Linked DNA regions of Danio rerio. The protein of the gene in region 1 interacts with the protein of each later gene in a biochemical or structural test. Links are inferred from orthologs where the notes say so. Each region holds a gene or a part of one and is shown on either strand. Other genes may lie near its edges.

Region 1 (3,842 bases):
TCCATCCATTCATATATCATTCTTTAATACATCCATCAATCCATCCATCCATCAATCTATATATCATTCATTTATACATCCATCCATGAATCCATCTACACATAATTTATTAATCCATCCATCCATGCATCTATCCATCCATCCATCCATCCATCCATCCATCCATCCATCCATCCATTCAATACTATATCCATCCATTCATCCATTCATCAATCCACCCATCTATATATCATCCATTAATACATCCATCCATGCATGTAACAATCCATCCATCCATCCATCTATCCATGTATACATCCATCCATCAATCCATCTACATATCATTCATTAATCTATTCATCCATCCATCCATCGACCCATCCATCCATCCATCCATCCATCACTATACTAACTTGTCCATTTGACTAAATATTATCCATCTATATACAATATTATCCATTAATAAATCCATTCATCCATATATCCATACACCCATCAATCCAACCATCCATCTACAAATGATCTATTAATAAATTGATCCATTCATCTATGTATCTATTCATTCATTCATCTATTTCTCCATCAATCCATTTATCCATCCATCTATATATCATAATTAATACATCCATCCATCTATATATCATTCATTAATACATCAGTCTATATATCATCAATTTATTCAGCCCTCCATCTATTCATTCATCCTTCCATCCATCCATCAGCAAAGAAACCAATTTAAACCCTAAAAAATTCACTGATACTAATTTGATGATAATGATGATGATGTTTATGAAGATGATGATGATGATGATGAAGTGTCATCACCTGGTCATGCTGTCGCAGCTGAACCACTGAATGCTGGGTTTGGGCACTCCTTCTGCCACACAGGTCACTGCGTGCTTCTTCTCCGGCAGGTGATGATCTGACAGCTCCGTTATCTGAGGAGGAACTGCAGAAGCAGACAAAAGATCTTCACATGAAAACCTCACTCAATAAACCAGACGGGTGAACAACAATTAATTCTTTAAAAATATAAATAAATATGTCATTTTTAAATACAAATAAGAAATATCACAGTCATAATTTAATAGTTAATTAAAAATACTATTGATACCAAACAAATATATGTTGATCAATTTATTCTAAAATGTTTTTAAATATATACATATTTATAACATGCATAATTTATTATAACCAAATTAAATGTTAAATAATAAGGTAATTTAAAAAATGTCATATTATTGCAGAAATTAATTAAATAAAAATCCAACTTAGTTTTCTTTTTTGTTCAGTAAATAAAAATAAAAAATATATATTTTTTATAATAAAATAAAACAATAAAATAAAATAAAATAAAATTAAATTAAAAGCTTTCTTTTGAGGGGTGGCTTGTGATGTAGGGAGATTTATTCATATTTATTCATATTTATTTTTATTTTATTTTTTATTTTTATATTATTATTTTTATTATTTATTCATATAATTTTTATTTAACTTATTTGACGAAAAGATAAAAAATATAATAATAAAAAATATAAAATATAATAAAATTAAATTAAAGTCTTTTGAGTGATGGCTTGTGATGTAGATAGGTTTATCCATATTTTATTTTTATTTTTATTATTATTTATTATTATTATTTTTATTATATTATTATTTTATTATTTATTCATATCATTTTTTTACTTATTTGCCAAAAAAAAATAAAATAAATAAATTGAATTAAATTAAATTAAAGTCTTTTAAAGGGTGGCTTGTGATGTAGGCGGTTTATTTATACTTATTTTTATTATTAATATTATTATTGTTATTATTATATTAATTTATTATTTATTTCTATAATTTTTATTTAACTTATTTGACAAAAAATTAAATAAAATAACTTTCACAGTAGTTTCAGTGGCTAATAATAAAAGTTAACTGGTTCCGCAGTATTCCTGGCAGCTGGTATTATTCTTGCTGCTTCCCATCTTAAACCAACATGGGTGTCTATTTTCAGGAAATGGGGTGGTGTGTAAATGGATGTTGAACCGTCTCACCTTTCACCTCTAGGTCAAAGATCATCTCTTTGAGGGCGTCTTCATTTTGGACGGTGACTTTGTAGAGACCCATCTGCTGCAGTCGAGTTCTGACCAGGGTCAATGTGCTGACAAACCTGCAACGCATCCAGTGCTGCATCAGTGTCTGTTTATATATATATCTCTGTTAAATCTCTGCTGATCTTCAAGCAGAGAGTAAATCTGCATTTGCTTTCAGCCTCTGAAGAAGAGTGTGAGTATTTGAGGGTCATGAATACCTCGTTTCGTGCTCCTCCCTCATGCTGTGTCCTCTGATAACAGCACCGTCTTTCCTCCACTGGACTGTAGGTTTGGGATACGCCTCGATCTCCACCTTCAGCTCCACGTTTTCTCCGAGCTGCGCAGAGATGTTTCTGTCCAGAGGAGGAGTCAGAGACACAAAACCCTTCTCTGCAGACAGACAAAAAAAAAAAAAGATCACGTGTGGAATAATCAGTATTTGCTTCATTAACAAAATCTATATGAAATGTATAGATTAATAACAAACAAAACAGCAAGACACGACAAAAGTAAATTAAACTACATTTTCTGATTACTGCCAATTGCCTAGTGGTAAGTGTGTCGACATGTATTGTCATTGTGTTTTGCGCATCTTGATTTCGAATACTGGCTTGTGGACATTTCCCAACTCCATAATTCAAGATTATTTGTATAGCGTAGCGCTTTTATTTATTTATAGGGCATTAATACCATCAACCATTCCCATTTTATTAAGGTGCATCCATATAAATGGCCCACCCTGTACTATGACAATGATCGCCTCAGGTACTTATTATGAGCTTTATTCAGTATAAATGTAACCAGTAACCGAGTTTTAATACATTTTTGGCCTGACATTTATAACCATACTGAAAGCAGCAGCAGATAATTTACCTCAGAAAATGAAATACAAGTACAGTTTGAACATGAACGTTAGAGCTGTGAATATCACTACAGTTTCCATTTCCGCAGCAAAACAAGAGCATAAAATACTATGACAATGATCGCCTCAGGTACTGATTATGGGCATTATTCAGTATAAATGTCACCAGTATGAGTTTGAATACTATTTTTCCTGACATTTATAACCATACTGAAATTAACAGCAGATAATTTACCTCAGAAAATGAAATACACGTACAGTTTGAACATGAACGCTAGACCTGTGACTCTCAGAACAGTTTTTATGACCACAGCAAAACAACAGCATAAATTAATATGACAATGATCGCCTCAGGTACCGATTATGGGCATTATTCAGTATAAATGTAACCAGTATGAGTTTAATTACTATATTTTTTCTGACATTTATAACCATACTGAAATTAACAGCAGATAATTTACCTCAGAAAATGAAATACACGTACAGTTTGAACATGAATGTTAGAACTGTGACTATCAGTACAGTTTCGATTTCCGCAGCAAAACAAGAGCATAAAATACTATGACAATGATCACCTCAGGTACTGATTATGGGCTTTATTCAGTATAAATGTAACCAGTACGAGTTTGAATACTATTTTTCCTGACATTTATAGCCATACTAAAAGCAACAGCAGATAACTTAAATCAGAAAATGAAATACACTCACACTTTGAACATGAACATGAACGTTAGAGCTGTGACTGTCAGTACAGTTTCTATTTCCGCAGCAAAGCAACAACATAAACTACGATGACAATGATCGCCTCAGGTACTGATTATGGGCTTTATTCAGTATAAATGTAACCAGTACGAGTTTGAATGCAATTTTTCTGGACATTTATAACCATACTGAAAGCAGCCGCAGATAATTGAATGCAGAAA
Region 2 (3,842 bases), on another chromosome or scaffold:
TAATCTGACATTATGTTACATGCATTCAGCCTGTGTTTCTGTGCAAGAACATGTACAGTATACTTAAAAAAAACTTAGCTAAAAGAGAAAAAAAAACATTGAGTTTCTGCTGTGTATTGCGCTGGAATCTTAAACTGATAAAACGTAAAGCAAGTGAGTTTGTAGCATTAATTGTGAAAGAGTTGCTGTAAACTCTGGAGAAATGACCAAACTATTAAACTGTGATGAACACTAACACATAGTAACACACCAACAAATTGCTTCAGAGACCGTTTTTATGTCTTTTGCACGTGCAGGTTTTTTTTTAAAAACCCTCCTATCCTTAGTGCAAATTCTGTTTATATACAGTTGAAGTCAGAATTTTTAGCCCCCCTGAATTATTAGCACCCCTGTTTATTTTTTTCCCCTATTTCTGTTTAACGGAAAGAAGATTTTCTTAACACATTTCTAAGCATAATAGTTTTAATAACTCATCTCTAATAACTGATTTATTTTATCTTTGCCATAATGACAGTAAATCATATTTAACTAGATATTTTTCAAGACACTTCTATACAGCTTAAAGTGACATTTAAAGGCTTAACTAGGTTAATTAGGTTAACTAGGCAGGTTAGGGTAATTAGGCAAGTTATTGTATAACGATGATTTGTTCTGTAGACTATCAGGAAAAAAATTGCTTAAAGAGGCTAATAATTTTGACATTAAAATGGCTTTTAAAAAACTAAAAACTGCTTTTATTCTAGCCAAAATAAAAACAAATCAGACTTTCTCGAGAAGAAAAAATATTATCAGACATACTGTGAAAATTTCCTTGCACTGTTAAACATCATTTGGGAAATATTTTAAAAAGGGATAAAAAATCAAAACGGGGCTAATAATTCTGACTTCAACTGTGTGTATATATATATATATATATATATATATATATATATATATATATATATATATATATATATATATATATATATATATATATATATATATATATATATATATATATATATATATTTATATTTATATATATATACCCTTTTTGGAGAGAAACTATAGACTGTATAACTGCGGGCTAACTATGTTTATTTCTTCCCTATACACAACTCCTTACCTTTTTTGATATTGACTGTAATGTGATGATGTGCACCTTTTATGAAGCTGCTTTAAAACAATAATTATTATGAAAAGCGATACACACTTGAAGAACTTAATAAATTAACTTAAAAAATTGTAATAATAAAAAAAATCATCGGGTCAATTTAAGACCCCTTTAAGACCATCAAGAATGAAATTTTAGACTTTTACAGGGATAAGATGTTTTGAATGGTCTTGTATTATCGTGAGGAATCGTGTAATTGCTTTAAGTTTATTTTTCCCTGATTAAGGAAATTATTTGAGGAATTTGCTGTAAAAATGTCTAACAGCTGTTGTGAATTATCTCTTTGCTATAAAAAAAATTATAGAAAAATAAAAAATTGGATTTTATAGGGATGTGTTGGTCATTAGATGGATATCAGCCCAAATTGAGTAGCTTTACTTGGACAAAGCAAAATTAAGACCTGTTTAAAACAATTTAAGACCTACAACACAATATATCATTAAATTTTTATAAATTTTTAGGACTTTTTCAGACCTGAAGTTAAGGTTTTGAAATTTTAGACAGTTTAAGACGTTTTTACACTGAAGGTACATGATTTGCATCTGGAAAAATAAATAAAAATCTTATTCATTTTTCTTTGTGGTTCTTGTAATTGAAGTGAACTGATGTCTATACACAACTAATAAAATCTCATTTATAGCAAGAAAGTCGTTAATACGATTAATCATGAATAATTGCAAACTGCTTACTTGTAAATGCAGTGAGACTCTTAGAAGAGCTTGAGTAATTCATTGCACCAACAGTCCACATGATGATGTTGTATGGGAAACCAGCATTGAGGCCTGTCAGAGAGGTGTAGTTTTGGCTGCAATTTATGAGAGTGCTGTTGTTGTATTGCAAGAGAAAGTAGTAAGATACTGAGCTCATGTTGAGTGGTTGAGCCCAGCTGATGTTCAGTGTGTTTGTGCTCTGCGTTGTGCTGATCTCGCCAGGAGGAGTAGGAACTGAAATGACAATGTAATCATAGGTGTGATACAAACATAGACAAACATATTTCCTGATGCAAGCATAATTTTTCAGATGTTATCAATCGGACTGGTGTCTTTTTAAAACACACCAGTAAAGAGGTGTAGAAAGTCACATTATGTCTCTGCACACAAAATATTTTTTTCCAGTTACCTACAGTATGACAAGCCATTGAAGTACAAAGTATTCCCTAGTGTTACTAATTGTAATTGCATTTTTGAATATTAGGAATTAAATTGGGGAGCTTAAAAAAAAAAAAAAAAAAATATATATATATATATATATATATATATATATATATATATATATATATATATATATATATATATATATATATATCTCCGAGGAGGGGAACTTCAATGCTAAGAGTATTGAAATGCCAAATGAATTGGCAGCGTAAGCTTGCGCACGTGTGCCTCATTGCCCATTAGCTCCGCATATAAGCACAGGGAAGCAAGGAAACGCCATCCTTTTAAGCTGAAGAGACTGACGCTTACAGCTAAGGAACAACCATTATGGCGATGCTATATAGCATTTCTGTTCCCCTCCTCGGTCCGATTGAATCATAATAATAACCTACACTGCTTCAAAATCATAGAACAGGAAGAGCTAGATAAAATTATAAATAGCTCTAAACCAGCTACGTGTATGCTGGACTCAATTCCAACAAAATTACTGAAAGAGCTGCTACCTGCAATAGGAGAGCCTCTTCTTAACATTATCGACTCTTCTTTATCTATAGGCCATGTTCCAAACTCTTACAAGCTAGCTGTTTTTAAGCCTATTATTAAGAAACCGCAACTGGACCCCAAAAACTTAGCTAACTATAGGCCTATTTCAAATCTTCCATTTATGTCTAAAATACTAGAAAAAGTTGTTTCTACTCAATTATGCTCCTTTCTGCAGATGAACAATATTTTTGAAGTGTTTCAGCCAGGTTTCAGGGCTCATCACAGTACAGAAACCGCATTAGTGAAAATAACCAATGATTTACTCTTAGCTGCTGACCGAGGGTGCGTCTCGCTATTAGTTTACTTGATCTTAGTTCGGCATTCGACACCATTGACCACAATATCCTCATAAATCGCTTAAAGTCTACAGGTGTCCAGGGACAGGCTCTATAATGGTTTAAGTCATACTTAACTGACCGTTAGCAGTTTGTGAATATTAATGGACAGCCTTCACAAGTCAGCCCAGTAAAGTATGGGGTGCCTCAAGGATCAGTTTTAGGCCCTTTGCTGTTTACAATTTACATGCTACCTCTGGGAGACATTATTAGAAGACATGGGATCAGCTTTCACTGCTATGCAGATGATACTCAATTATATATTTCAACTAAACCTGACGAGACGTCTCAACTGTCTAAACTAACTGAGTGTATCAAAGACATTAAAGACTGGATGACCAACAGTTTTCTTCTCCTAAACTCAGACAAAACAGAATTATTACTTATTGGGCCTAAATCTTGTACACAGCAGATCTCGCAACTCAATTTACAATTAGAGGGATACAAAGTTAGCGTTAGCTCTACTATAAAACATCTTTGTGTCATATTAGACAGCAATCTAACTTTTGAAAACCATATATCCCATGTCACAAAAACTGCTTTTTGAGAAATATCGCTATATTACGAAATATGCTATCCATCTCAGATGCAGAAAAGCTAGTCCATGCTTTTATGACTTCGAGGCTGGATTACTGTAATGCTTTATTTGCTGGTCTG

Evidence for each region.
Region 2: of the proteins of pdgfrb (region 1) and ptprja, one has a biochemical effect on the other in vitro, tested with the Homo sapiens proteins (2 studies listed by IntAct). The link is inferred for Danio rerio from reciprocal best matches to the Homo sapiens genes PDGFRB and PTPRJ.

The regions. Positions count from the first base shown.
Region 1 is NC_133189.1:3,712,578-3,716,419, forward strand, and holds part of pdgfrb (platelet-derived growth factor receptor beta), read right to left. Parts: intron 2,448-3,842; coding exon 2,276-2,447; intron 2,135-2,275; coding exon 2,019-2,134; intron 929-2,018; coding exon 805-928; intron 1-804. UniProt on the Homo sapiens protein: Tyrosine-protein kinase that acts as a cell-surface receptor for homodimeric PDGFB and PDGFD and for heterodimers formed by PDGFA and PDGFB, and plays an essential role in the regulation of embryonic development, cell proliferation, survival, differentiation, chemotaxis and migration.
Region 2 is NC_133182.1:39,918,479-39,922,320, forward strand, and holds part of ptprja (receptor-type tyrosine-protein phosphatase eta precursor), read right to left. Parts: intron 2,098-3,842; coding exon 1,843-2,097; intron 1-1,842. UniProt on the Homo sapiens protein: Tyrosine phosphatase which dephosphorylates or contributes to the dephosphorylation of CTNND1, FLT3, PDGFRB, MET, KDR, LYN, SRC, MAPK1, MAPK3, EGFR, TJP1, OCLN, PIK3R1 and PIK3R2. Plays a role in cell adhesion, migration, proliferation and differentiation.